Linked DNA regions of Cricetulus griseus. The protein of the gene in region 3 interacts with the protein of the main gene of each other region in a pairwise test. Links are inferred from orthologs where the notes say so. Each region holds a gene or a part of one and is shown on either strand. Other genes may lie near its edges. The genes, in order: Dhx30, Prrc2b and Ythdf1.

The links.
Region 1: the proteins of Ythdf1 (region 3) and Dhx30 interact in a two-hybrid assay, tested with the Homo sapiens proteins (2 studies listed by BioGRID, with this or other methods). The link is inferred for Cricetulus griseus from reciprocal best matches to the Homo sapiens genes YTHDF1 and DHX30.
Region 2: the proteins of Ythdf1 (region 3) and Prrc2b interact in a two-hybrid assay, tested with the Homo sapiens proteins (2 studies listed by BioGRID, with this or other methods). The link is inferred for Cricetulus griseus from reciprocal best matches to the Homo sapiens genes YTHDF1 and PRRC2B.

The regions. Positions count from the first base shown.
Region 1 is NC_048597.1:217,549,914-217,559,289, reverse strand, and holds part of Dhx30 (ATP-dependent RNA helicase DHX30), read left to right. Parts: intron 1-1,711; coding exon 1,712-1,842; intron 1,843-2,916; coding exon 2,917-3,027; intron 3,028-4,756; coding exon 4,757-5,058; intron 5,059-5,428; coding exon 5,429-5,549; intron 5,550-6,271; coding exon 6,272-6,421; intron 6,422-8,450; coding exon 8,451-8,603; intron 8,604-8,895; coding exon 8,896-9,376.
Region 2 is NC_048599.1:143,882,299-143,892,186, forward strand, and holds the start of Prrc2b (protein PRRC2B), read left to right. Parts: upstream 1-4,485; 5' UTR 4,486-4,658; intron 4,659-4,801; exon of another isoform or gene 4,802-4,939; intron 4,940-5,075; exon of another isoform or gene 5,076-5,221; intron 5,222-5,752; exon of another isoform or gene 5,753-6,452; intron 6,453-9,888.
Region 3 is NC_048599.1:983,123-993,030, forward strand, and holds the start of Ythdf1 (YTH domain-containing family protein 1), read left to right. Parts: upstream 1-3,426; 5' UTR 3,427-3,667; intron 3,668-4,822; 5' UTR 4,823-4,902; intron 4,903-9,908.

The DNA.
Region 1 (9,376 bases), on a different chromosome or scaffold from region 3:
AACAGGTCTACATGCAGACAAGACATTTATACATACATTAAAAAAATAGAGTGAGCTAGTTGGCCTTTAACCACCTGAAAAACTGGGGCCTGTGGCGTGTGCACATCTGTGGGTCTAGTGGGTTACTTAAAGTAGGGAAGATGGGGCCAACTCTCCTTGAGTCTACTTAGGTGCTGTTTATTAACTGCTTGATTCTTACATGATATATAACATAGCATTTAGGAGACTGCACCAGGTAGGACACCCCTATTGTGCTAGTTGACACAGTTATCTGCCCCAGGTAAATATCCCAAACAAGTTAAGTTTACATCAGAAATTTTGGAGCAGCATTTTCAAAACACAACACTGGTGAGATGGCTCAGCAGGTAAAAGTGATTGCTATACAGCTCTGGTAGTTAGACCCCAGTTCCAACCCCTGATCACAGTGGAGGGAGAGAATAAGCTTGCAAGGGTTGTTCTCTGACCTCCAAATGGTGGACTCTCTCACACAGTGATAATAAAAGAATTGTTTTTGAGACATTGCCTCACTGTGTAGCCCTGACTGTCCCAAAACTCACAGGATCTGCCTGCCTCTGCTTCCCAAGTGCTGGGGTTAAAAGTTTGCAACAACTGCTGGGCAGTGAATGAATGTTTGAAAAGACAAAAGAATTAAATACAAATACTACCTGAACATTGCTGGCATTGTCAGGTACCCACTGAGGAATAATTTGTCCACTGCTGTGATAAAGCAAGTACATGATACTACATGGAACACCCACTAAGTTCTGTTGTGGGGTGTTATAGGTTGAACATAATGCCAGAGACTGTAGGTGGCAAACGAGAAGGACGTACATCCCCTGAAGATTCTCATGCTGCATGTCGATGGGCCCTTTATTTTGTTTTGAGCTGTTGTGAGTTGCCACTGTGTGATCAACTAAGCCCTGTTTGGCAGGAGCTACTGCTAGATGGGACATCTGAGACATTTGTGTTATTTGTATTTTGAGGTTAATGCGGAGACTTAAGTGAAGGGAAGGAGAGAGGCCTTCTGGTGTCTGATGCTTCCATTTCCCCTTGGCGTCAGGGGGCAGGAAAGGGTTGGCTCCTGCCTTTGTCTTGGCTGAGAGACTGGACTTTAGGGAGGATTTCTCCAGTGCTGAGGCACACTTGGGAGTAGAGGCATAATCTTTAAATTCTGGATCTCATCACTGACCTACATGGGGCCTGAAAGAATCAGTGTCAGCTTAGGATCTCCAAGACCAAGATCAGTACCAATACTTGACAACTGGAACAGTTGGTGGTCAGCCTTAGGAGGAGGAAGTGGCCAAATTAGGGAATAGACCTCTGTGGCTAGCTTCAGGAATGAAAGCTAATGGCTCAGCAAGGCAGAGAGAATGGGGGAGAAGGGCAAGGTTGCCAGAGCCATGCTCGCTATGCTGGAGCTAGCCAGAGTCCCTTTAGGACCTGTCCTTCTAATAGTGTGACCTGCTTTGGGAGGGTCTTCATCTCTCATGTGCATGCATGCAAGATAGGTTTTTTTGTTTTGTTTTCTGAGCATCCTTTCAGAAATCAGACTGATGGAGTTTATTGTCCATCTAGCCCATTCCCAAGGACTCCTAACTTCATTGAATGCTTTGCAGTCCTGAGTCAACGTTAGCCCAGAGTGGCTTTGATATATATCTTGTGGAGTTGCAAAATAAAAGGAATTGTAATTATTTTACTCTTATTTTCTTAGCTTCTAGGGACCTATTAAAAGAGTTTCCACAGCCCAAAAACCTTCTCAACAGCGTGATTGGAAGAGCCCTTGGCATCTCACATGCAAAAGACAAGCTAGTCTATGTGCACACAAATGGACCGAAGAAAAAGGTAACTCTGCTGGTGGCTAAGTGAGTCCCTAGTCCCTAGTGTGATTCAAAGGACGCTGGCTGCCTCTCTCTCTCTCTCTCTCTCTCTCTCTTCTCTCTCTCTCTCTCTCTCTCTCTCTCAGGTTTGGATTTTGTTTCTCTTTTTTCTTTGTCAAAGAGGCCAATTTAGGTATCCTGCTTGTTTGCTTTTGTTCGTTTTGTTTTCATTTGGTTTTGGTTTTTCAAGACAGGGTTTCTTTGTGTTACCTTGGCTGTCCTGGAATTGACCTTTAACTCATAGAGATCTGCCTGCCTCTGCCTCCTGCATGCTGGGATTAAAGGTGTGTGCCACCACCTAGCCCTCCCTGTTCATTTGCTTTTCATTGCTTTGAGATAGGGTCTTTCGTAGCCTAGGCTGGTTTCAAACTTGCTGTGTGACAGGAGCTGGTCTTGGATTGTTGGTCCTCCTGCCTCCAGGTTACAGATAGTGAAAGTATTCTACACACACATTGAAAAAAACAGTCTTACAGATGTGCGCTGCTCTGCCCGCCAGAATGGGTTTCTAAATGTGAGCAGTCAGTAAAGAATTCCATAATACAGTTAGATCTGAAGAACCACCAGAAATCCACAGCAGGTGGGGTAAGGAGTGCTCATCTTGTCTAAGAGGCCCCCGTAGTGCTCCCTGCTTTTGGTCCCTTGTCTAACAAGGAATGTAGGGAAGAGGTGATGGTGAGAACACCCCTGCTCCAAGAGTGTCAGAGAGCCTATATCCCACAGAAGCATGCAGGCAAACCATTCTGAATAAAGGTTTTTTGGTTGTTTGTTTGCTTTGAGGCAGGGGTTTCTCTGTGTAGAAACCATCTAGGAACTCACTCTGTAGACCAGGCTGGCCTTGAACTCAAGAGAGCTGATCAGGGTCTGCCTCTCTAGTGCTGGGAATAAAGGACCATGCCACCACAGCTGGCTTGTTTGCTTGTTTTTGATGCAGGTCCTGCAATTTACTTTGTAACCTGATTCTCTTGCCTCTACTACTGTGGAGCTACGGCTACAGGCATGGCTATCGTTCCCACTTCTTTATTCTCTTTTCACTTCCCAGAAAGTCACCCTGCACATAAAGTGGCCCAAGAGTGTGGAGGTAGAAGGCTATGGCAGCAAGAAGATAGATGCTGAGCGGCAGGCGGCAGCAGCAGCCTGCCAGCTCTTCAAGGTGAGCCACCTCTACTGAAGGCCTGCAGGCCCGGAGACTGCTGTCGCTAGCTCTCTCTTGCACTGGTTTTGGTTCCAGGGACATCTTGGTAGATGTTGAGGCAGTGTTGAGTCATGGAACTTTCCTGAGCCCTTCCTGCTTCCTAGTCCTCTTCTTTGCTCTATGTATGTGTGTGTGTGTGTATGTTTGTGAGGACATGTGCCTGTGTGTTGACGAGAGGTTGTCTATCTACATTGTCTTTGTTTGTTCATTACTTGTTGGAGACAAGGTCTTATTTTGTAGCTTTGCTGGCCTAGAGCTACCTATATAGACTAGGCAAGCCTTGAACACAGAGATACACTTGCCTCTGCTGAGACTAAAGGTGTGTCTTCCCACAGCTGGCTTGTCTACATTGGTTTTTGAGATGGGATCTCTCTGTGACCTGGGGCTCACTGATTAGGCTGTGCTGGTTGGTGGGCTAGCATGTCCCATGATGCAACTCTTTGTGCCTCCCCACCTTGGTATTAAAAGAGTTCACCACTACCACCTGGTGTTTTACATGAGTTGGGGATTGAATTTAGGTCTTCGTGTTTGTGTGGCGAGCACTTTACTAGCTCCCCAGCCCTTGCCTTATAAAATTAAAAAAAAAAAAAAAAAGTTTTTCTGAGATGTGGTCTCACTGTGTAGCCTTGACTGGTTGGTAATTCACTATTGTAGACCAGGCTGGCTGCCTGATTGCCTCAGTGTTAGGATTAACCACTGATTTAAAAAAAAAAAAAAAAAGGTATTTATTTTGCATGTGTTGCTTGCCTGCATGTGTAAGTAGGTGGAGTTTTTCATCAGGGCCTCAATCAGGTCTGTTTTACCAACCACTTCCCAAAAATCCACTCAGAGACTTAATATTAATTATAAAGGGTTTCTTTGTATAGCCCTGGCTGTCCTGAAGACTGGCCTTGAACTCAGAGATTCACCTGCCTCTGCCTCCTGAATGCTGGGATTAAAGGCGTGCACTTATCTAGCTTATTTTCATTTCACATTTTTATTAGTTTGAGACGAAGTCTTACAGTTCAGGTCATCTGCAACTTTTTTTTTTTCAAGCTTTACTTATGTACAGTTTTCTGTCTGCGTGTATCCCTGCAGGCCAGAAGAGGGCACCAGATCTCATTATAGATGGCTGTGAGCCACCATGTGGTTGCTGGGAATTGAACTCCAGACCTCTGGAAGAGCAGACAGTGCTCTTAACCACTGAGTCATCTCTCCAGCCCGCCATCTACAACTTTAAGTGATCCTCCTGCCTAGGCCTGGGAGACACCATATCTAGCAAACCTAGGCATTTTTAAGTCTTCTCTTCCTTCCCTCTGTCAGTCTCTTTCTTTCTATTATTGTTTCTTTTTGTTTGTTTTTTTGGTTTTTTTTTTTTTTTTTTTTCCCCCCGAGACAGGGTTTCTCTGTGGCTTTGGAGGCTGTCCTGGAACTAGCTCTTGTAGACCAGGTTGGTCTCCAACTCACAGAGATCTGCCTGCCTCTGCCTCCGAGTGTTGGGATTAAAGGCGTGCGCCACCAACCCCGGGCTCTATTATTGTTTCTTAAGATGGTCTCTGCACAGTTAAGACTGGTCTAGATCACAAGATCCTTCTCTGTGAGCTTTCATTGTTGGGATCTGGCCAGGACTGGTGTGTATAGCAGACACAGAAGAGGCTCACCTAGGTGTGGTGATGGTTTGCTCCTCACAGTTTTCTCTACTGGACAGGGCTGGGGTCTGCTGGGTCCACGGAATGAGCTGTTTGATGCCGCCAAATACCGAGTGCTAGCTGATCGTTTTGGGTCTCCAGCTGACAACTGGTGGCGTCCAGAACCCACCATGCCTCCAACTTCATGGCGGCAGCTGAATCCTGAGAACATTCGGCCAGGGGGTCCTGGAGGCCTATCCCGATCCTTAGGCCGAGAAGAAGAGGAAGATGAGGAGGAAGAGCTTGAAGAGGGGACCATTGATGTGACGGAGTTTCTGTCCATGACCCAGCAAGACTCTCACAACCCACTCAGGGACTCAAGGTACTGCTGTGGCAGAGGGATGCAGGGACCCTGGTCACGTCTTCTCTGAGCCCCCACATACGGGTGGGCTGGGGTTGGATGGGGTAGTACACTGGTAGCTACTGTCTTGGGCTGTGGCTGAGCTCGTGCAGACGACGCCTGGTCCCTCTTTCCAGCTCACACTTGGGCCCCGCCTTGTCAGCAGTCGTTCAGCTCACTTTTTGGGGGCAAGCAGGGCACTGTGGGCTTCTGCAATATGACAGTCACTCCTGACCGTCACCTCCTGCCCCTGCCTTTCTGTCCACCAGCACTGTGTCCCAGCCTTGAGGTCCCAGAGAAAGTGGCCTAGGAAGACAGCAGACTTTTTCACCTAAACTATTTGTCCTCTTAGGGGGGGTTCCTTTGAAATGACAGATGATGACAGTGCTATTAGAGCTCTGACCCAATTTCCACTTCCCAAGAACCTTCTGGCCAAAGTGATTCAGATCGCGACATCGTCCTCCACAGCTAAGGTGAGTTGGCTCTCCCAGAAGTGTGTGCATGAGCCACCTACTTGCTTGTGCCTGTCTTCTGAAGGCTCAGCAGGAAGGAACCCTCAGCTGTAGGGCAGGGCTCAGCTTGCCTGTCTTGGCTCCCACCTAGGCCAGCTAGGACACGGGATCCTTGACGAATGGAAGGCAAAGCAGCAGGGACAGGAAAATAGCCACACAGGGTGTAGGCTGGGACTGCTGACTGGAAGACCCAACTCTATGACCAGGTGGTGGGTTAGGGACCTGAAAGAATAGAAGTGGGGTGCCTGAATTGTGTTTAAATGTCATCATTGATGCACATCAAGGGGTCTCAGAGGACTGAGGTAGAGGTATAAGGCCTTTTTACTGTCAGACTTTCCTGAAGGTGCTAACCGCATGTGGCTGAGGAAGACAGGTAGCAGCATCGTGTGAACCGCGACTTCTACTACAGAAATGAGAAGCAAGCTCAGAGCTAGGGCTACACAGGGTCATTGATGGGTGAATGGCATGAGGCAGGAGGGAAAAGGGGGGAAGCCAAAATAAAGAACTCTGGTTGTGCCTAGTCTGGTGTGATGGTCGTTTTCGTTTGGTGCTGTAGCTGTGAGCTCTGCCTGTGGGTCCCTGAAGGTGCGTAGACCACCCACCTGTCGGGTTCCTGAAGGTGCGTAGACCACCCGTCTGCTCCTTCCCGGCCTTTGTAACTTCCTCATTTGCCTTCCATGTAGAACCTCATGCAGTTCCATACTGTGGGTACCAAGACCAAGCTGGCTACACTCACTCTGCTCTGGCCCTGTCCCATGACCTTTGTTGCCAAAGGGCGCCGCAAAGCTGAGGCTGAGAATAAGGCAGCGGCCTTGGCTTGCAAGAAACTGAAGGTGAGTCCCTTGTCTGTGACAGACTAGTCCACTTTTCTAGGGAGGAAGACACACACCAGGCCTTGGTCTCATCCTTACATGTATCTGTTTCCATGCCTACTGCCCCAGAGTGTCTGCAGGGACTGTACCTGTGAGCTTGACCTTAGTAACGCTTGGCCAAAGCCTAGGTGAAACCAGAGTGAGACCTCACAGGCAGGGGTGTGAAAGCGGTGCTTGGCTTATAAGATCGGCTTGGTGCCCAGAGATGCTGCTAACCTTGGTGGCCAAGTGAATAATCTGAATGAAATTGGAGGAAGTAAAGGTGATGGCAGTGTGGCCTGCAGCTGGCAGGTTGTCACCCCTCATGTTTTTTTCTTTTAAATATTTACTTTTTGTCTGTGCACCACAGTATACACGTGGAGCTCAGAGGAGGGGACACAGGAGTCTGTTCTTTTCTTTTACTGTATTGATTCCGGGAAATCAAACTTATGTCATGTGACTTGGTAGCAAGCACACCCTCTTCTGTTTTTTAAATTTGAGACAGGGTCAGGTGTATCCCAGGCTGGCCTGGTACTTATTACAATGCTGAGGATAACCATGAGTTTCTGGACTTTGTGCATCCATCTCCTATGTGCACGAGCCACCATGCAGTGCTAGGGACCAAACCCAGAGCTTCACGTACATCCCCAGCCTGACTGCCAACCAGGCCTCACTCTAGCCTGGCCTGGTACCTGCTATGCAGCTCAGGTTGGCTTCCAACTCAGCCTTGTCTCAAATGGTAGGATTATTAGTGGGTGTCATTAAGCCTAGCAAATTTCTTGAAGTTCTCCTCCTCCTCTTCCTTCCTCCTTCTCCTTCCTTCTTCCCAAGGTTTAGTGACTGACTATAGAGCATTACTCATTTTTGGTGGCCACCCTCTCACTGAGCTGTGTCTGTGGCAGTTCTAGTTCTCTGATGTACCTTGTGAATCTGGTTTTGGGGAACCATGTCTTAGATGCCTCTGATGGTAAAGGATACACCTGTCAACTTGGAGAATATGAGGAGTCCATGAGTTATCCCAGTACTTGGGAGGCCAGGCAGATAGATTATCATGAGATCAAGGCTGGCCTGGGCTACATATCAAGGCTGTTTCAGACAATCAAAACAAAGAGAAAAGGTTGCATGCAGCTGGTGAAATATGAGGTTGGGTGTGGGCTCTGCAGGGCAGAGGCCTGGGGCTCATTGCAGGATGTGGAGGAGTCTGCAGTTTCACTTCATATGCACAAGCCCCACACTCCTGGCATGGGAGAAGCTGTTTGGGAAGGAGCTGCAGTGTTGGGAAGCTGATGCACGCAACAGCCAAGTGGTAGCACTGGTACCTTTTGTGACCTAAGCACTGGTTCTTTAGTAGATGAAATTGTAGTGGGACAATGCCCTGAGGGAGGGAACCTTTGGGCTGAGTTTGGAGAGAGAGAGCTAGTGAGCTCTCCACATGGTAGACACACAAAGCTAAGAAAATGGCAGGCATATATTTCCCTGAAGGTCATATTTTATCTCATGGGGTGATTTTAAGCATTTGGTGAAGCAAACAAACATTTTACTTTAAAGGGCCTATTTTATCATGTGGAGACATTTACAGGATGTTCCATGTACTTCTTTCTATTATGGGGTCACAGATGGCACTGGCCAGAACACATAGCAGCCGCACCTGCCAGCAGGGTTTGGGTGGGGAAGCTATGGCGAGCCTGCACAGGGAGAGCCTTTGGAGTAGAGTCTTCAGGGGCATGCCTTGCTGGTCTCAGGTGTGTGTTGGGAATTTGTGGAAATAAGATCAGTCTTCTGGGATATTGGAAGGAAGGCTGTGACGGCACCAGAGGAATGCACTTGGGCCATTGTGCCTGGGCAAGTGGTAGGGTTCTGATACCACATTTAGTTCTTTAGAAAAAAAATGGTTTTTAAACTTCCTATTAGAGTTATACTTTGTAGCCCAGACTAGCCTGGAATTTGGCAAGCCTCTTACCTTCACCTCCTGAGTGCTGGGGTTATAAGAGCCATTCCTGTCTTCCTGCAGAGCCTGGGCCTGGTGGACAGGAACAATGAGCCGCTTACCCATGCTATGTACAACCTGGCCTCCTTGCGTGAGTTGGGTGAGACCCAGCGCCGGCCATGTACCATCCAGGTGCCCGAGCCCATCCTTCGCAAGATAGAGGCCTTCCTGAGTCATGTAAGAGTCCTGCCTTCCATTCCACTGTCTCCCCTCTCCAGACTGAAGGCTGCTTCTTTCTGCCTGCCACAGGCCTAGAAAATCTGTTTTTTCCCACTGAGCAGGGAGCCTTGGAGCCCTAAGTTCCCTTAGTCATCATGCCCGTGAGGTATCAGGGCAGTCAGAGCCCAAGTTCTCTGCTCTGTAGGTTGGGCCCTAAACATCTGACCCTGGTGAATCCTTTGGAGGGGCTGACTGCATGGAGTAGGAAGACAGGCACTTATGTCATTTTGCTTGCTTCCTCGTCCCCTAGTACCCTGTGGACAGTTCATGGATTTCTCCAGAACTCCGGCTGCAGAATGATGACATCTTGCCCTTAGGCAAGGACTCAGGGCCCTTGAGTGACCCTATCACAGGCAAGCCATACATGCCCCTGTCAGAAGCGGAGGAGGTACGTCTGAGCCAGAGCCTGCTAGAGCTGTGGCGGAGGCGAGGGCCAATCTGGCAGGAGGCCCCACAGCTACCTGTGGACCCTCATCGGGACACTATCCTCAGTGCCATTGAACAGCACCCAGTTGTGGTCATCTCTGGGGACACGGGCTGTGGGAAGACCACACGTATCCCTCAGCTACTGTTGGAGCGCTATGTGACTGAAGGCCGAGGTGCCCGCTGCAATGTGATCATCACACAACCTCGCCGAATCTCAGCTGTGTCTGTGGCGCAGCGGGTCAGCCATGAACTGGGCCCCTCTTTGCGCCGGAATGTGGGCTTCCAGGTGCGTTTGGAAAGCAAGC
Region 2 (9,888 bases), about 140 Mb from region 3:
CTTTCTGAATCCTCAGACAAGCTTTAATAAGTCATAAATAATATATCATGACACCTGGGTATCCTAGAACTTGCTTTGTAGACCAGACTGGACTTGAACTCACAGAGATCCACTTGCCTCTGCCTCTCGAGTGCTGAGAATAAAGGTGTGCACAATTGCACCCAGCAGAATTGCAGTGCTTTTAATTGGCCATATAAAAATGCCTGCTCTTATAGAAATATGATGGTTTAATTATGGAAAAATGCTATTTTCCTACCATTATTTCTCAGTATATAAGTATATCTTTGGGTTGGATTGTTAGAATATTTTGATTTAAACATTGCTATTTGCAAGATGGATGGGGTGGTGCACACCTATAATCCTGGCACTTGAAAGGGGGACAAAGGAGGATGTGGAGAGTAAGGCCATCTTTGGCTACATAGTAAGTTTGTGACCAGCCAGAGACCCTGCCTCAAAACAACACAGATCTGAGTAGACTCATTTCAAAGGAAGCAATGGCTAGTATTGGCAATGATAACAGGTGACATTTCAAGCACAAGCTAGAGTTTTGGAGAATGTGAAGCTTCCACATAGTGATCTCAACTAACAATTCAATTTTTTTCTGAGAGTGGAGCACTAACAAATACGATGGTGTGAGTCTGTGTGTGTGAGGGGGTGGGGTGTGAGTACCATGCCTGCATGTGCTGTGGAGGCCAGGGGTCTATATCAAATACCTTTTACTCAGTTGGCTGGCTGGCTGGCTGGCTGGCTGGCTGAAGAATTCCATCCATAGAGCCTTCTCTCTCCCCTCCCAGTGCTGGGTTACAGATATGCCATCAGCTTTTTTACATGGCTGCTAGGAAACCGAATTCAAGTTCTCTTAAGAGGCAGGCACTTGGCCGGGCGTTGGTGGCGCACACCTTTAATCCCAGCACTCGGGAGGCAGAGGCAGGAGGATCTCTGTGAGTTCAAGACCAGCCTGGTCTCCAGAGCAAGCTCCAGGACAGGTTCCAAAGCTACACAGAGAAACCCTGTCTTGAAAAACAAACAAACAAACAAAAAAAGAGGCAGGCCTGAGTTCAATTCCCAGCAACCACATGGTGGCTCACAACCATCCATTATGAGATGCCCTCTTCTGGTGTGCAGATATACACGGAAGCAGAATGTTGTATACATAATAAATAAATAAAATCTTAAAAAAAAGGAGGCAGGCACTTTACCAACTGAGCCATATCCTTGGCCCAACAGATAGGACTTTTAAAGCATCACATCTGTCAACAGCTGGCAGACCTGCCTGACTTGGTGAATCAGTGCTTTCTAGGTAACCACTGTAGCGGTCTGTAGTCAGAGGCGGTCTAGGTTACCCGATGACATGGATTCCTGATGTTCCTCTCGCACCTCCCAAGCCCTGGGGTTACAGGTGTGTAGCTCTTTCAGTGCTGAGAACCAAACCTAGGGCTTTGTGTATGCTAGACCAACTGAGCTACAGACACCCCCAGCCCTGGATTCTCTCATTAACCCTCACCAAGCAGCCATAAGACAGGCACTGCTGCTCTTCCCATTAGGCAGAGAAGAAAGGCAGACTGTAGCAGGCACAATAAAGCGACCCCCACTGGCAGTGGTCAGATACGATTCAGTTAAGGATCCTGGATTGTTTAGGTGCCTCAATATAATCACAGGATCTTTGTAAGATTGGCTAAGAGTCCATGATATAAAATGAATTTTAGCTATACAGTTGGCTGTATGTATCCACAGGTCCCACGCTCTCCGATTCAACCCACTGAGGATGAAAAGCCTTCAGAGAAGCTAGGCATGGTGGCTGGCTCACATCTGTAATCTCAACACTGGGGAGCCTGAGGCAGGAGGATTGCTGTGTTCAAGGTCAGCCTGGACTACGAAGTGAGACCCTATTTCAAGAAAGAAAGAAAGAAAGAAAGAAAGAAAGAAAGAAAGGAAGGAAGGAAGGAAGGGAGAGAGAAAAATTTGCATCCATGGTAGGCATGAACAAACTTTTATTCCTGCCATTATTCCCCAGGCAACAAGGCAGAGCAACTATTTACATCACTCTTGAGGTGTAGTGTGTGGTAAGAGTGATCTGAAAGTGGTGAGGATAAAGGAGGCTATGTGTAAGTCACAGGTAAATTTATCTTGACATTTTATACAGGAGACTGAAGTATCTTTGGATTTTGGTGTTTTTTTGTTTTTGTTTTTTTGTTTGTTTGGTTTGGTTTTTCGAGACAGGGTTTCTCTGTGGCTTTGGAGGCTGTCCTGGAAGGATTTTGGTGTTTTTAAGAAGCCCTAGACCCATTATTACCCCACTGTGGAACAACTGTATATTTTATTTAACACACTAAATAATAAATACCATTCACCAGCACTCGGAAGAAAGAAGCAGGCCATTCTCTATGAGTTCAAAGCCAGTCTGGTCTACATAGAAAAGTTTCAGGACAGTTGGGGCTCTATAGAGAGACCCTGTCGCAAATAGCCAAAAATGAAAAAATTGAAAAGTCATCATCCTGGCCACATATCAAATGCTCAGTGGCCACATGTGGCCAGTGTGCGTATCCAAGTGTTTCTCTGTAAAAGTGTGTGAGCCATACACATGCAGAAGTCAGAGGGTAGGAGTAACGTTAGGTGTCTTCTATCCTTGCCTTGTACCTTGTTCTCTGTTGCACATCCCAGGGTATCTGTTCCAGAAGTTTCTGTCTCTGTCTCCCATCTCATCATAGGATGACTTTGAATTTCTGATCCCATTGCTCCCCTCTCCTCAGTGCTGGGATTCCATACATGTCTGCACCACCACACCCTGCTTTACTTACTTATTTTTGAAATAGGGTCTTGCTTTGTAGCCTGAGCTGTCCTGAGACTCACAATGAAACCCAGTCTGGTCTCAAATGAATAGAAGTCCTCCTGTTTCAGCTTCTCCAGTGCTGGGATTATAGACATGTTTATTTTAAAGAGGAGATAACATAAAAGTGATCATGATACAAAGCAGTGAAATTGGGAAGGCATAAGAAACGCTGTAAAACTCCCCAGAATCTCACTCCCTGGGCACTGGGCCTGGCATTCCTAGTTCCACTGAAATGGGCTAATCTTTCTGGGGCCCAGTTGAACAGCTTCTGTGTACCCTCTTGGTCCCTCTTTTTTCTTATCGGTTAATCGGAGCAATAATAAGTGCTCTGGAGTTAGCATTAGATCACACAAACCCAGTCCACTAACATAGGGCATGACAGCAGAGCTGGGATTTAGCCTGTTCAGAAAAATGCCCAAGTATGTCTGTGGTCTTACTTTTTTTTTTTTTTTTTTTTTTTCAGTAACCAAACCCACGGCCTCCTGCATAATAGCCATGAATTCTACAACTGAGCTATATCCCCAACTATTCTTTTTCATTATTGTTTTTGTTTCTTGAATTTTATTTTTAATTGCCAGGGTATCTGGAATTAAATCGGGAGAGCTCTCCCACCTCGCACCACACAAATAACCACGAGGGGAGCCATTCTTTCTCGCAGACCTTTTGTTTTGCATTCACACAAATACAAGGTAACACCCAAGAGGGGTGGTTTACGACATCTTAAACAAAAGGGGTGAAGTGTCTATACTGTGCACTTGTTATGGAATGGAAACGACAATGTGCTCCTTCTACCTTCTCCCTGATCCGTCAGACGCCTAACACAGTCTGAGCTGTCGGGCTGCAGGAGGTTCTATCGCTCTGGGGGTGCAGGGGGCAGGATCCAGGCCGAATCCCTTTTCTGAGCCCTCCCTCCTGCTTGCCCTCCAGGCCTCAGGTCTGTGTCCCCTGCGTTTTAGAGCGGGCGCCCTCCTCACCCCCCTTCCCATGGTCACCCTAGAGCTCTCCCTGGGGTCTCCTCCCAGTGTGCCCCCAGGCCTCTCTCAGGACCCCCTTCCCCACTCCATCGAGGTCCTCTCCGTCTTGGGGGTGGTATCTACCTCAACCCACTCTCCATTGAGGTCTCTCTCCACCAGGATCCCCTCCCTCTCCATGAAGATCCCTCTCTGCTGGGACCCGCTCTCCTCCCAGTCCCTTCTCCACTTGTTCTCCATTTGAGCCGTCCTCTTCACTGCCGCTCCTTTCCACCCAGGTCCCTTCTCCATTAAGGTCTCTCTCCACCTAGGCCTTTTTCCCTCAAGATCCTTCACCTAGGCCTCTTCTGCACCTAGGCCCGCTTTCCTCCAAGGTCTCTCTCATTTAGGCACCTTCTCCACCTAGCCTCCTCTCCACCTAAGCCCCTTCTCCGTCAAGGTCCCTCGCCACCGCGTCCCCGAGCTCCCTCTCCATTGAGGTCCTCTCTTCCGCAGCCGCTCGCTGTCTGCACCGCGGCCCAGCCTACTTCCCGCACCCTCCCTCCCGGGACAGGGGCGACGCGGCAGGGGGCGCTGCGCGGGCCACCGTGCGGGCGGCGGGCGGGGGCGGCGCGGAGGCGGGGCGGCGCGGCGGCGGGGGGCGGGGAGCCGAGCGCGGGCGGGAGGCGGCGGCGAGCCACAGCGCCGAGGCTCCAGCGAGCGCCGAGGAGCGGGAGGAGGAGGCAGGAGCGCAGAGCGCCGAGCCCCGCCGCCGCCGCTGCCGCCGCCGCCGCGCAATCCGCCGCCATCCGCCGCCCCCGCGCCCGGCCGCCGCCCGACCGCCATCGCCGGGCCCGTCGCTCGCGGACGCAGACCAGGTGGGCCGGGGCCGGGGCTGCGCTTTGTCTCCACTGCCGAGCTCTGCGGCTGGCGGGGCCTGCGGCCTGGGCGGCCTGGTCGGCGCTCTCCAGCTCGCCATTGTTGTGTCTCGCGGCCAGGCGGGAGGCCGGCGGGCCGGGCGGGGCCGGGATCGGATCGCCGTCGGGATCGAGCCGGAGGGCTCTCCAGCGTCTGGGGACAGCGGCCTCGGAGGCCGGGGCGGGGGACGCGAGACCCCGAGGCCGCCCGGAACCGCAGGCCGAGCGCCGCCCCGGCTCGGGTGGGTTCGGCTGCGGGAAGCGGGGTGGTGTTTTCACGGCACCCGGAGCCGCTGCTAAAAACGTTTAATAATAAACAGGATGTCGCTGCTCGGGGCCTGTCGGATTGATGGTTTTTTGTTTTTTTTCTTCGCCTACCTTTTAAGAGAGAAATGCAGTCCTGCTGAGGTGGTGGGCCTCTCTGGAGAGGCTCTACCTGCACAAAAGTGGACGCTGCTGCTTTCCTTTCTTCTTTGTAAATATCATGGGCAGACGAAGCCCACTGTTAGGCAAGAATAGGTGTCGTTGTGTCCCCCCCACCCCACCCCACCCCCCGGCAATGGTGAGCTTGAAGGAAGTGGGAGAAGGGGGGCGCCGATGCTCTCCGGAGTGTGTCATTTGCTAAATGGCTGCCTGAGAGAAACGTTTATAAAAGCCCGTCTTTTGCAGTATAGTTAAATTTCATCTGCGGTTTTCTTTCCTGAAAAGGTTAGCGTATATTTTCGGTGTGTTGTTTGCATTATACATCTCCCTTGGGCGTTCAGTCTGTCCATTTGAAGCCTTGGCGTTTTTTCTTGGCAGAACAACTGCAGGGGCTTGTATTGTATGGTGATGTCTGCACCGTCGTGGTGCAAGCTGGGACCTGCGGGGTACAGGCTGTAGAGTGGGATGGATATCTGCTGCCACCTCCAAACCGAGGGGACTCCTCAGCTTTCATTGGCAGAGAGACACGACTTGGTATGCAGTCGGTGCTCTATGGTAACTCCGCGTTGTCAACCTAGGATACAAGGTTGGCCACTTGTGGTGTCATCCATGCTGGAGCATGCCACAGGTGCTGACTTGAAGCGGCGACATTGGGGCAGGGGTTCAAAACACTGGTTGATGTCGGACTGCTGGGAGTCCCAGGCCAGCCTGGGCTCCACCGAGAAAACCCAGCAAAATTCCCACATTGTAGGAGCTTGGTCAGTGTGGGCCTCTGGGGAATGAGCGTGGGAAGGCATGTGGCTCTCTAGTGCAGGGGGCTTTCTAGTGGGTAGCTGGGTTTCAGCGGGCTGGAGCTGTATTGAGTGGACAGAACTGGCAGGATACTCGGGAGTCTTGTCTTTGGAAGGTAACTGCCCTCCTTGGGGATGGGCAAGTAATTGTTTGTGAGCCTTCAGCTTGTTCAGGCAAGTGTGCCTTTGGAGCCCTGTTACTCTTGAGTTACTTTAGTCAAGTCTCTGAGCCCCAGCTCTTGCATCTATAAAATGGGAATAATTACGACTGCTCGTGTATCTCGTGGGAGCCGCAGGTAAGATTCAACAGCAGAGCGTTTCCATCCGTGGGAAGGTGGTAGGTAGGCTTGTATATTCTTTGGTTTTGCTGGTCCCTTTTAATTCCTGACTTTCTTCCTCCTGTTGTGGCTTACAGAATTGTGACCCCGGCCCCGCCCCAAATTCTGTGACCAGCAAATGTTTTGATATTCTCTTTGTTACCCGAGTTCCCAAAAGCACGGGGCTAGTTTAGAAGAGGCAAGGAGCTCAGCCAGATTCTGAGGTAAAAGGGAGATCATAGACGGGCAGAGGATAACAAAGCAGGGGGAGGCGGGGCTGGGCGGACACGACCAATATTGGTCTTACTGTGAGTGATGACTGAGGCCTAGTTTGCCTCTTGGACTAACCCTGAGTAATTTGTTGGTCCCCACTTGGGTAAACAGTGACTTGCATCCGGGAGGGGGTGGGGGATTGTCTTACTTCATTTGGCATAATCGTTTTACTGAGTTTTAAGGAACTTCCGTGCCCCCTCAAGGCCCTTTATTCTCCAGCCATTTGGTTGTCCTGCCTCCTTCACTGGTCTGGTCCTAGTTTGCTGGTGGCTGGCAGGTTAGGGAAGACGAAGTCTACTCTCCCTGCCCCCAAGATTTTAATTCCTTGGGGAGCTCTAACATTCTCTGCGCTGTTTGTGTGGCACCCTGGTGGGGCCTGCCCTAGTCGTCTTCACTGTTCACTAGCCTGGAATGGGTGAGGGGAAATCCCAGGACACTTAGAGGCAAAAGCCTGGGAGAGTGGAGTTTCTGGAATGGCCGGTCAGAACTGGCTTCTGAGCCTTGGGCTTTGCTGAGGGATTTTTTTGTTTGGCCTCTTAACTGCCCTCCATCCATGCGCGCGCGCGCGCGCGTGCACACACACACACACACACACACACACACACACACGTCATTTTTTTCTCTGAAAGATTATTTTACTGTACTTTAAAGCTTTTTTATCCCCTAACACAAAGTACCAACTCCGGTTGCTAGTGGCTGTGGGTTGGTTACGTCTCCCATTGTTCTACCATTTAAGATTGATCATTCGGTGTTTCTATTTCAAACCAGAATAGACTGGGAAGACCTGTGCATGTATTTCTAAAATTCCATAAGGAGGCTCCTCTGCTGTCAACTGTTCGGATTGTGTTACAGGCCAGCAGGTATTAATAGGGCCTGTCCATAGCAGATCTTAAAACATTTTTCTCTTAAAAAAAGAAAGACGATGGCCAGCAGACATCTGATGGGTTTTGTACTGTGAGCTTGTTATTTTTGGTTTTGAAATGAATATTGTGTACAAAGGTAGGGCTTAGTGAGTCTAAAGGCCATTTTTTTTTTTTAGTTGATTATATTTATTGTATGTCTCTTTTCGTGTCCCATGGTACTCCTGTAGTGGGGCAGCCTGTGGGAGTTGGTTCTCTCTTTGGATCATGTGGGTCCTCGGGTTCAAACTGGTTGTCGGGGTTGGTGTCAGTCACCCTGACTACGGAGTCATCTCTTGGCCCTCAGTGTGTATTAGTGTTACTATTATTTGGGTTTGCATAGACTGGAGAGCATTTGGATGGGGTCACACATGGCCCATGGTGCTGGAAGCTTTCTGGGGCAGGGACATTGTTTACGATGAGCCTTTAGGATCCACAGGGGCACTTTGGCCTCCTCACCTGGGAGCTGGCAGACCTGGGCATCACCGCAGGTGATGCTGCTGTTGACACCATTGGTCACGTGGGAGATCTGTGTGCCAGGAGGGTGTTTTTGCCTTGGTGACTGGAATCAGGAGCCTTGCTTGGGCTTTGTTCTTACTGCACCTTTTTTTTTTTTTTTTTTTTTTTAAATCCTGTGATACCTGAGAAACGTGATTTCCCAAACCTCAGCAGTGCTGTAGGATGCTGGTGTGTGAAGCGTCTCATGTTGTGCAGGGTAAAGTCCACCTGAGTGGCTATTGTCTGGAGTGTTTGCCTCTGTGCCTCTCTCTGCAGCCAGCCTAGGTCCTTTATCCCTCCTTTCCAGACCACTGGCTTCTTCCTCTTTGGTGCTGGGAGAAGCTGAGTTGATTGCATTTTCAATTTTCCCGTCATGTGCCAGATACTCCATGGTCACTTATTTCCCTGCCAATGTGAAAGGCCCTTTAAAATAACGTTTCCAAACCCCTATGATTAAAGTGAAATCCCTGAAAAAATAAGCAAACACTGAAAAGGATTAATAAGAAAATACAAATAGAGACCACATAGTCTCACCCCCTAGACTATAGAACTAACATGTATATGTTGGCATCTTTACACACTGCATGGTTGGCAGCTTGGTTCTTCCTGTGAAGGTTGTATTTAATGCATCCGCAGTGATTTATTAAATCTGACAGTTTGTTAGGCAATTTGGTTGTTGTTACTTACCCTCCTTCCCATCAAACAAAACATTCCTGCCTTTTCTTATCTCTGATTAGCTCCCTGTAATGGGATTTCTGAGGCCAAAGGGTGCGAGGTTTTCTTCAGGAGTTTTCAGTACTTCCGACCTTTCTCTTCTGTCTTGAACCTCCAGGTTCTGGGTGGCTCTCTCCAGATCAGAGTCTTTTGATTTCCTAAGATTTATTTTGATTATTTTTAATTATGTTTATCTATGTGGGTATGTGCACGGGACTGTAGTGCTTGAAGAGTTCAGAAGAGTGTTGCATGCCCTGAAACTGAAATTATAGGTGATTGTTAGCAGCCTGATGTGGGTGCTACAAGCCAAACTCAATCCTTTGCAAGAAAGTAACTGATCTTAATGCTTCCCCATCTCTCCAGTCCCTGGTTCAAGGTTGTCATCACAGGCTGGATTGTAGACAAGGCTGCCTCAAACCCCGAATTGTTCTGTAGGTATGGCAGGAAGGCTCTCTGAAGAGAGATTTTGGGGGAGCATCTCAACGTCTCATTTCTTTTTTGGGGGAAGGTATGGATTAAAGGTGTGAGCTACCACCCCAGGGAGTGGGGTGAATGGGTAGTGGTTTCTTTTTTAGTTTCTATTTGTAGCACTCAGATGAGGCCTGGGATACATTTTGTAGGCCAGGCTGGCCTCAAACTCGCAGAGATGAGATCCAAGCCCCAGCATGGTGCTGCATGCCTTTATTCCCAGCCTGGTCTACAAAGTGAGTTCCAGGACAGCCAAGGTTACACAGAGAAGCCCTGTCTTGAAAATCAAAAACCAAAACAACAGAACGCCCCTCAAACCTCACAGAGATTCACCTGTTTCTGCCTCCTGAGAGTGCCGTGATTAAGGGTGTGGGCCACCTTGCTTGGCTCTGTAACCCAAGTGGGCCTTGAATTGGCAAAACTGCTTCCATTTCCATGTACCAAGATTACAGTGCTGCTTTTCCTTATCACACTTTTTACGATTTGTAAACAAAAGTTTTAAAAACAATTTATTTCTTTGTGTGTGAGTACAGTGTGTCTGCATATATGCAAGAATGTGCATGCTTGTGGAGGGTTGAGATTGAGTTTGGTGTCTTCCCAGGTCACTCTCCATTGTATGTTCCGAGGCATGGTCACTCGCACCCAGAACTCACTGCTCTGGCTAGTCTGCTTCCCCGACCTACCTCCGTGTGTACTGTACTGCAGGTGGCCGTCATGCTTCCCTGGCTTTCCTGGGGTGCTAGGTATTTGAACTCTAGTTTTCATGCTTGTGCAGCAAGTGCTTTACACACAACCATCTCTCCAGCCC
Region 3 (9,908 bases):
TCAGCACCATTTTACTCGAGGAAGCATGGCATTAAATATCAAGTCAGTTGAAAAACAAACAAACAAAAATCAAACAAGAATACATCATGACAGGTCTAGAGGAAGCTGGTGAGGGCAAGAGGAAGAAGCCTTTTTTGCTTTTTGAACCATAGTTCCTGGTTTTCCATCTTGCCCTGGCTGAGAGCCAGACTTGATTGCCACATGAGTTGAATGAAGATGCCTCTTACAGCAGCCTGTGCTGTTTCATGACTTAAGGTCAAGGCCTGAGGCTTACATGATCCTAGAGTGCCACAAAGCCTGCTTGTTATTCCTCAGCCTTGAAGCTAATATCCTGGAGGTCACTGGATCCTAGGCCACCTGGTACTGTCCTGGGGGACAAATAAGCACAACCATAGTAGCAGATGCTAGCTACAATTCCTGGAAACACAGAGGCAGTCAATAGGCCATGGAACCCTCAGCGAATGGCAGGTTTCTGGTCCAAGTTAGGCTGCTGGTCCTTGGGTACTGTGTAGAGGGTAAAAGAGACAAGGGTTGGAAAGGATCCAAGGTTCATGAGTAAGGTGAAGTTCAGATTGTCTGGCCCTGGCATTTGCTCTAACTTCTTGGAGGTTTGCTTTCTGGTCCAGGCCCACAGAGCTTTTGAGAGGCAAGTTGCATGATGCGTCTGTCACATGCTGACTCAAACACCTGCATCATCCATGGATGCAAGAGTGGCCCCTGCTATAGGGAGCTGATTTTGGGGTACATGTCTATGTTCTGTTTCGTGCTGTTCCAGAGCACCCTGAGCCAGTCAGCACCCACTCACCTAGATTCTAGTTAAGGGACACTCTAGAAACCAATCCAGGGACATACTCTCTCCTCATTCCATCCTGTCCTGGCTGCCTACCAAATCACAGGTATTATTTATGGTGACTTGGTTAAACCATCGTTTTGTGTCTGGGTTGAAGCATTGGACTCATTTTCTGTTCCCATGCCTGTGAACTTCTCGTGAGTAGTCAGTGTACAATAAGACTGAGCAGGACTGCACAAGCATCCCTCCACAGGAAACTACCAGGATATCAGGACAGGGACCACTGGTACCCTGGCACTCTGTATATCCCAGGAATGAAGTAGGGGCTCAGCTAAAATACTTTTGGATAGTGACTAATGGACATCTAGAGAGAGGAGCTGTGATTCACAGGAGGGGCAGAGGACAGAAGGAGCCCCAACACCACAAGCTGATTTCCTGGAAGACAAACTAGACACCCCCTGGAGGTTTGGAAGGACAGGGGATTCAGAAGGAGGTCTGCTGCAGGGAGGGTGTTCACTCCCAAGAGGATGTTCATAAAGAAGGGGTGGGGGATCTTCAGCATTTGAGTATCTGTGCGCTGCCTGCATGGACAGGTGTCTTCACCACTGGCCCTCCTAGGGCCAGTTTTTGAGTGAGCTAAACCCAGCACACAACAAAGGCTTGTTCCAGCCAGGTATCATTTGAATACAGGGTCTCCATCCTTCAGCTCTCCTAGCCTTCAACATGGCCTCCTTGGGGGACATCTAACAATCTACAAAATGACCAAAAGATGTGCCCTTCAACCCAGTGACTCACCCTCAGGTGCCTCCTTCTTGTGCCCTTCTACTGATGACATGTAACAGAGGCTAGAACATTTCCTACAGAAAAGTCAGGGACAAAGCATTCCCTGGAAGGGATGGGTAGGAGCATCTGGGTGTTGGTGCCTAGCAATGGTTCCCAGCACTCACATGAGGGCTCGTGAGTGCCTGTTACTCCAGTTCCAGGAAGTCAAGACAGCTTTTCTGACCTCTGCAGGCATGCACATAGTGCACACATATACATGCAAAAAAAAAAAACCCTCATAAACATAAAATTTTAAAAATATCTTAAAGGGGCTGGAGAGATGGCTCAGGGCTCAAGAGCACTTGCTGCTCTTTCAGAGGATCCAGGTTCAATGCTCAGCACACACTTGGGGGGCGGGACAGAACCATCTGTAACTCCAGTTCCAGGGCACCTGGCACCCTCTTCTGGCTTCCCTGAGCATCAGGCACAAACACATGGTGCATTTACATACAAGCAGTCAAAACACTCATATGCAGAAAATAAAAGTTAATATGTCTTTTAAAACTTACATTTGAAAGATTTGTTTTATTTTATATGTATGTGTGCCTGCTTGTCTGTATGTGAACCATGTGCTCATCGAATCCAGAAGAGAGTTTTTGAACCCCTGGGACTGGAGTTACAGGCAATTGTGACCCACCATATGGGTGTCGGGAACCAATCCAGCCCTCAAATAAACCTTTTTAATGAATGTGAGATCTGCTGTGGGGTAATAGGAGGAGTCTGTGTGTGGAAACAGGTTCACTGAGCAAGGAGCCTGCCTAAAAGTGAATGTCTAGTGGGGTGAGTTCTTTGTTGGGGACTCTTACAGAAATGAAAAACGAACTGAGCTTTCCCCACGAATTTGGAGCACAAAGGGGGCGTCAAGCCTTTCCCTCTTAGGTGACAGGATCGGGTTCAGAATCTAACGGGAACACCGGTCACATCCTGGCACTCCTCTCTCAGGCCCAGATTGCCGCAGGGCAATCGAGGAGGACTGCTTGCACACCGCTGGCAAAACTCTTGTGCCCCTGGACAGGTAGAGCTTAGTGGCCCCATTCACCCACCTTCTCCTCTAACACTCATGGGGCTAAAGCAGGAAGGTTGCTATGAATTTAAGGTCAACCTGGACTACATAGCAAGTTCTATGCTAGCCTGAACTAGAGTGAGACCCTGTGAGAAGGCCTCCCTTCTCAGGTGCAGGGGAAATCATCCTGGGACTCTGCTCCACAGTGCCTGGCTGCCAGCAGGGGCCTAAGGAGGTACCTGTATGGGAGGGGAGATCTGGGCCTCAGTCCTGTATGTGTATCTCCCTCTACTCACGTGCCACCGCAGAGCCCTGGCGGCACGCAGAGCCCACAGGCAGCTTTACCACTGCTACTTGACTTTAGAATGCGCTGGGAGTACCACGCTTCACAGAACCCCAATGCCCTTTGAAAAAGACATGGGGCTTTTACCATTTCAGAGATGTGGAAACTGAGGCAAAGGAAGGGAAAGGAGGTTCACTGAGAGCTGAAGTATGGGAGATCAGCCTAGGAGATGGTGGCCTACTCCGATCCATAGTAGATCAAGCTCACACAGGGCTGGAGTCCCTGGGGTATCCACCATCACCAGCTCAGCAGATCTATTCCCACGTGGCCCTGCAGGATTTAGGACCCCATCTCATTCCCCACCTGCCTCTGCCTCCCAAGTGCTGGGATTAAAGTTGTGTGCTACCAATGCCCTACGGCCAGGCCGTGGACAGAGGTTGCGGTCGGGGCCGCGCAGGGGACCTGGAGGCTGGGCTGGGGGTGCGAGGTCCGGGCCGGGAACCGAGAGACCGGTCAGGGCTTGGGTCTCCCTCCGGGCCGAGGACCGGGAAACCAGGCCCGGCCGGAGTTATGGTTCCGACGGCGGGGTCCGCTGGGCCTGGCCGTGGTCAGAGTACGGGGGGTGTGGAGGCCGGGCCGGGGTCGTCTCGTCCTCCGGGGAGCGTTCTCCGGATAGTAACTTTTGTGTTTCCTTTCCCGGGCTGGGTGGTGTCCACCCGCATATCCTGACCTGCGGCGACGCAGAGAACAAAAGGACAAGATAATAAAGGTGAGGAGAGTTCCGGGAAGTCGACTTTGGAGGAGAACGGGGCAGCGTCAGTCCGTGTGGACGAGAGAAAGTCCATCAGCCTTGCCTGGAACCCGAAACTTACTAGTTTCTTCCGTCAGTTCGGAGGAGATGAAACTTTCCGTTTCCGGGATGTTTGACAGATTGGGGGGGGGGCTAGAAAATAAAGGCGTACCCGGAGTAGTTCATCCCTCCGATCTTCTCTCTGCAAGAACAGTTACCTGGCGGGGAAGGAAATGGTGCTAAGACATCCTCGCAGGGGCTACGGGGGCTGAATGATGGTTCTCTGTTGCTAGGTAGTGGATGGCTCTAGCAAGCCTGTGGGCCTCGGAGGCTCTGCCCCCCACCCTAAGTTGCAGTCATTATAAGTTTACGGTCATCAGTGATAATTCTGGCTTCGTAATAAACTCCCAAAACTCAGTCTTGGAAAGTGACACTAAAACTTTTACCCGGAAGACTTTTTAACCACTGCATGTTGTTGTTACTTGGATGTAACCAAATATGGTTCATCGTGTTTTAAGGTTGGAAAAGGCCCAACACTTTATTTACCATTCCTTTCCTTTCCTTTACTGGCTGTGCACTGTAACAGTGGAAAGTAAGTGGAGAGTCAGATGATAGTGAGCTTGGGTTACAGCCCTTTCCAACCGAGCATCCTGCCCTCTTCAGATCTCCATGCATAACTAGGCCCTTAGAGCATGTGTCCTCCGTTTGCCTGGCATAGATCTTCTGAGACCCTGTCGATTTCCTTGGCTGGGGTGTGGCGAGGGGGTTCGTCTGTGATACAGCACTTGCAGGCATATGGGGCCCTGGATTCGGGCCCCGCCTCTAGGGTGGGGTGGGGGCGGAGCATCTCAAGACCCTCAAAGCCTGGCTTTAAGTTTCTTGCCATTTATTTTTATGTGCAGCAAAATGACCTGATCAAATTATGATTATGTCTTTATAAAAAAATTTAATTTATGGCAAGTTGTGCAATGCCAGTCTAATTAGGCGTGTAAACATCAGCTCTAGAGAGTGTGCCCATTTTGAAGTAAGATTGTATCTACTAAAATTTGATGAAAATAGCCTTTACTAAGGTTCCCATGCTTAAAAGTAATTTTTTAAAGCCTGGAGATAATATTTTGCAACTTCTTGTTCTAGTACAAAATGGTTCTTTACATCAGAAGGACACAGTTCATGACAATGACTTTGAGCCCTACCTTTCTGGACAGTCCAATCCGGTGAGTTCATTTTATTAGCTTGTTGTTGTTTTTAAGTAATTTTGTTTGTAACACCTTTACTATCATATTTCTGTTTTTCTACCCTAAGCAGGAAAGAGGCATACTAGGAAGTATTAAAAATGATAGAGTGGTCTTGAAGAGTTGATTTGAGCAGGTCTTCCTGCTGGGCCTGGGGCCTGGGGGTGGGGGGATATGAAGATAGTTTTCTCCCTGAAGAGTAACACCCCGCTGAGATTGGGTACTGGCAGACTTCTAGTTGACCCTCAGCATGTGTGGGTATAGAGTGCTTTTTTATGGTTTAAAGGAGTGTGTGGTTCCCTGAAGCCTTGTGCCATGTTCATTTTGTCTCTGGGGGTTTGAAGTTAGTATCTAGGAGAGTAGCTAAGCACTGGACAGTGCAGCAGACCCCTTTTCTGTGCATCAGGTGACTTGCCTTCCTTGAACCTTAGTTTCCTTTTACATGAAAAAAATGTTAGAACTGCCCTTAGGCTTTTTGGGAGATTGGCATTAGAGAGTATGTACCTACATGGTCCAGCAAGCTTCAAGGGCCTATGTTCTCAGGTAATTCAGTATTGCTTCCCTTTGGCACCATGAAACACCTCTTCCCTTCACTTTTCATGTGTATGCATATGTGTGTTGGCACAGGTATGTGTCTATCAAGGTTGGGGGTGAGTGGAGGATGGAATGCATGTACAGACCTGATTTAATGTCAGGGATCTCATCTCCTGTTACCTTTCTACCTCATTCAGTGATGCAGAGTCTCTGAAACCTAGAGTTTCAATTGCTTTGGGAACCTCCTGTCTTTACAAGTTGGCCACCATACTCACCTGGCATTTACATGGGTTTACGGGGACTCAAACTCTGGTCCTAAAGCTTGGGTAGCAGTCTTGTTTTGTTTTGTTTGTGTTTTTGAGACAGGGTTTCTCTGTGTAGCTTTGGATCCTGTCCTGGAACTCTATTTGTTCAATAGACTGGCCTGGAACTCCATTTGTTCAGACTGGCCTGGAACTCAGAGATCCACCTGCCTCTGCCTCCCAAGTGCTGGGATTAAAGTTGTGTGCTACCAATGCCCTACTGGGCAGCAGTCATTTTAAACTGAGCCATCTCCCCAGCCAATGGTTATTTTTTAAGTGTGAGTATGGGCTTGGGCATGGGAGTGTGTACATGCACAGGTAACCTTGGAATCTAGAAGAGGTCGACACATTGTTGTGAACTGCCTACATGGGTGCTGGGAACTGAACTGTAGTCTTTTGTAAGAGCAGCAAGTCTCAACTTCTGAGTCATCTCTCTAGACCCAGACAAAAAACATTTTTGTATTTTTTGAAAGTTTCATATGTACATGCAGTATATGTTGATCATAGCAGCTTCACATTTCCCCAGTGTGTGTGTGTGTGTGTGTGTGTGTGTGTGTGCGTGTGCGCGCGCGCGCGTGCATGCATGCATGCATGTGCACTCATGTGCGTGTCCCTGCATGTCCGCTTTCATGTCCTCTCTTTCCCCTAACCTACTGGGATCATGGGCATTTTGTACCAAAGCATTGTTTTGGCTGTTCCTGCTCTATAGGATCACCAGTTATATTCCACATCCCACTCCACCCACTAGATTCCCTGATTAGCTTCCCACAAAAATTGTCTGCAAGAAGCCTTCTGGCAATTTAATTGCAATGGTTAAAAGCCATAGGCAAGCTGGGCATGATGGTATACACTTTTAATCCCAGTACTCAAAGGTAGAGGCAGTTGGATCTTTGAGTTCAAGGCCAGACAGGACTATGTAGTGGGACCTGTCTCACAACAAACAAAAAGCCATAGGCAATTCGAACTTTAGGTTTAGCCATAGTGACTGCTACTTTTAAATGCATGCTGCATAGTTAGAGTAAAGCAAGGTTTTGCCTGGGCCTTGTATTGGAAGGAAATGGATTACCTGCCTGTTTTGTTTTGTTCTTGTTTTTGCTTATCTGCCCCTTCTAGGTCATCTTAGAACATTTTACAACTCTTCTCCATCTTCCTTCTCACTTTTAGCATCTCAGAAGCCTCAGGGTCTGAAGAACCTGGGGTCTTAACCTATAGGGCTGCATGGTTGCCCCTGATGGGCAGTATATAGAGTTGCAGAACTGACTTGGCTTTAGTCATGGGCTTGTTGGCCATGGCAAGAACAAGAAGTTACACAAACCTATTCTTTTGAATATTGTATTTCCTGGTTTTCTTAGTAGTGGTATGTACTAAATATTAACCAAAACAAGGAACTAGTGTTGCCTTAATTCATTTTTTATAAAGTAGGGGCTTATGGAATATTTGGGAGGATCCTGCCCTGCTGTCAATTGCATGCCACTGCAATCTTCTCTTGTGGAAGCCATGAAAAGGGATGTTCTTCAAGGAGCAAGCATGCCCAGGGAATAGCTTTGAAGTGCCTCCTTCATGTCTGTGTGTTCAGATGTGTACTTTTAGCAAAGCACTTAACAACACATCACTTAGAGTAAATGTGTGCTCCTGATGGCAGACTTTGTAGAAGAGCCCAGTGTTGTTAAGACACAGGGAGAGTAGCAGCACAGGGAGCAAGAAGCAGCTGAAGACCAGCCTGGTGGCTGTTTACCTGTGTGGAGAAGCTGGGGCCTTCAGTCATCTTGTGGTGCCTTCTGCCTTTGTGTTGCTTGTTTCTTCATGTGGGGCAGAAGGCCATCTGCTTCTTTGCTTTTCTGTAGTACATCCTAGTACCCAGAGATTGTTCAGAATGCTTGACTGACACTGTCACTGGTGTTGTTTCATGTGGCCACAGTGCCACAGTGAAGTTGGTGCCTCCTATACTCATTTGTGAGGAACTGCTGGCCTTGGAAGCTCTTAGCTTATCTTGAAAATTGAGCCTCCCCAGTTTCCCAAGTTTTTTTTGTTTTGTTTTGTTTTTTAATTCGACTTTGTGTTTTCTTTTTTCTTTTTCTTTTTTTTCCACCTGTAGCCCAGAGTTAAGTTAAATAATGCTGTGCCTTGTTAGGGCATATGCAGCCTCTGTTGTTTGTGAAGATCTGGGAGAAACTTGATACTTGGGTTGCTGCCATGTCTAGGCAGTTCTGGTAGGCTCAGGATTGGCACATATGTGCCTGGCTATCAATCCTGTATCTGGCTTGGATTTTTGTGGTTGTGCGTACATAAGTTTCCTTAAAAGGTCCAGTGGTAGTACCCCGTAAAGAGGGGTTTGCTACCACTACAGCTTCCCAGAGGGGCAATGAAAGGATACCTTGGGTCCTTAGTAAATTGCTTAAACAGATACAGAAATTCCTTGTCAGAAACTGCTGTCTCTGCTGTATCAGCCAGACATTACAGTCTCAGAAGGCTCAGCCTTGAAGACCAAGAAAGTGCCTGACTGAGTCAGTGTATAGTGTTTTTCTCTGACATTCCTCTGTCTGTGGCCATCTCCTGAAACAAATGTGGTAGTGCTGACTGACAGAGCAGTTCCCAGGAGTCCTAGTCACTTGGTCACTTTTCAGCCTTGCCCTCCATGCCTTCCTTTCACATAATTGATTTGACTCAATGAAGGGCATGCGTCTCAGTGTGCTCCCTCCTCGATGGATGGTCTTCTGGGCTTGGAAGAGACTGTCTCCTTCCAGTGTCAGTCACTTTGATGCCCACTTACCTTATTGTTTAAATGGTCTCAGAAAAAAGGGCAGAGGAAGTGTTCTAATCATTCAGAATTGTTGTGGCTGTCTGTCTGTCTGTTTGTCCCTTTCCCCCATCCTTGTCAGTTAAGGTAATTAAAGTTGGATTGATTTTTTTTTTTTAATTCTAGAACAGATTTATGGTTTTATTATACTTTGCTGTTTCTAAATAACCTAGGGATAACAGCCATGGCCATTTAAATTCTCTTTAATTCTTTGGAGTATCTATTTTGTTCATCTAATTTTCAAGTTATGAGGAAGAAGAAACCTTAGAGTTCCAAGTTGTATTTTCAGTAAGCTCTGGCTTTGCCAGGAAGATGTGTTTGCCTCCCTTGTGTGGTCCCGTTGTATCCAGGCTTTGATTAGAAATCTTAGATGTAGTACCTACTACCCAGCAGTCTGGTTAGACTTCTGAGTTTGCTTGTGTGACTTAATTTATTCAGCTGTGTCTCTGATAACCACTCCTTACTGGTAGCTGAGACTACTCTGTGGAGCCACCACTACAGAAGGACTTCTTGCCTGGAACATTTACAAGAGAATGGAAACCCAAGCTTGTGCTGGCCAATGCAGGCTTTTCCAGCAGCCCTGGGGTATTTCCAGAGTGTGTTTGAAGGAAGTTGCTGCTCGTGTAGGCAAAGCAGGTAGCATAGACATACCCCACGCAGACTGATGGAAAGGTGTACACATGGACTGGATTCAGCCTGACTTAAAGAGTTGGAAGCAGCAGCTACAGGGTTCCTCTTCATAAAATGGCTTGGTTGAGGTAGCTTCACAAAGTAGCCTAATACTTCACTTTCAGAGATTGAAAGGAAATGTGATGGAGGTAATAGAAACTGGTAAAAAACTGGGATTGGGCAGTTTCACAGTGCCCGTGGCCTCTCAGGATGGGGAGGATTAGATGTGAGGCTGCTGGTTCACAGGCAGAGGGAGGGTGTGGTTAGGTGTTTAGGCAACCTCCTGGATGCCTACAGCACTTTTCAGGGGATCTTAGTAAGCAATGGCCTTTTATCTGTGATTTTTACCTTTTCCGTGGGTTTAATTTTATCACTGCTTATTCCTTCCTCTCTATCTGACAACTCAGGGAAGCAATGAGGTCTCCCCAAGACTGTGCCTTCCAGGCTGCTGGCTGCTTCTCTTCTCGGCTGCCTCTGTCCTACATGTGTTTCTACATGTACATTTTTAGTTGAATCATCACACTCTTGTCTTGAGGTGTGATGCTTTTTTGCAGAGGAAGTTACCTAGAATCTTTGTGTAAGGATCTGAAAGAAGTACAATTTTAGGATTTGGGGTAGGCTGTGTTGGGAGGTGTTGTGCTTGAATCTACTGTATCAGGTAGTACATGCTGTGGAATTGTGGGGTC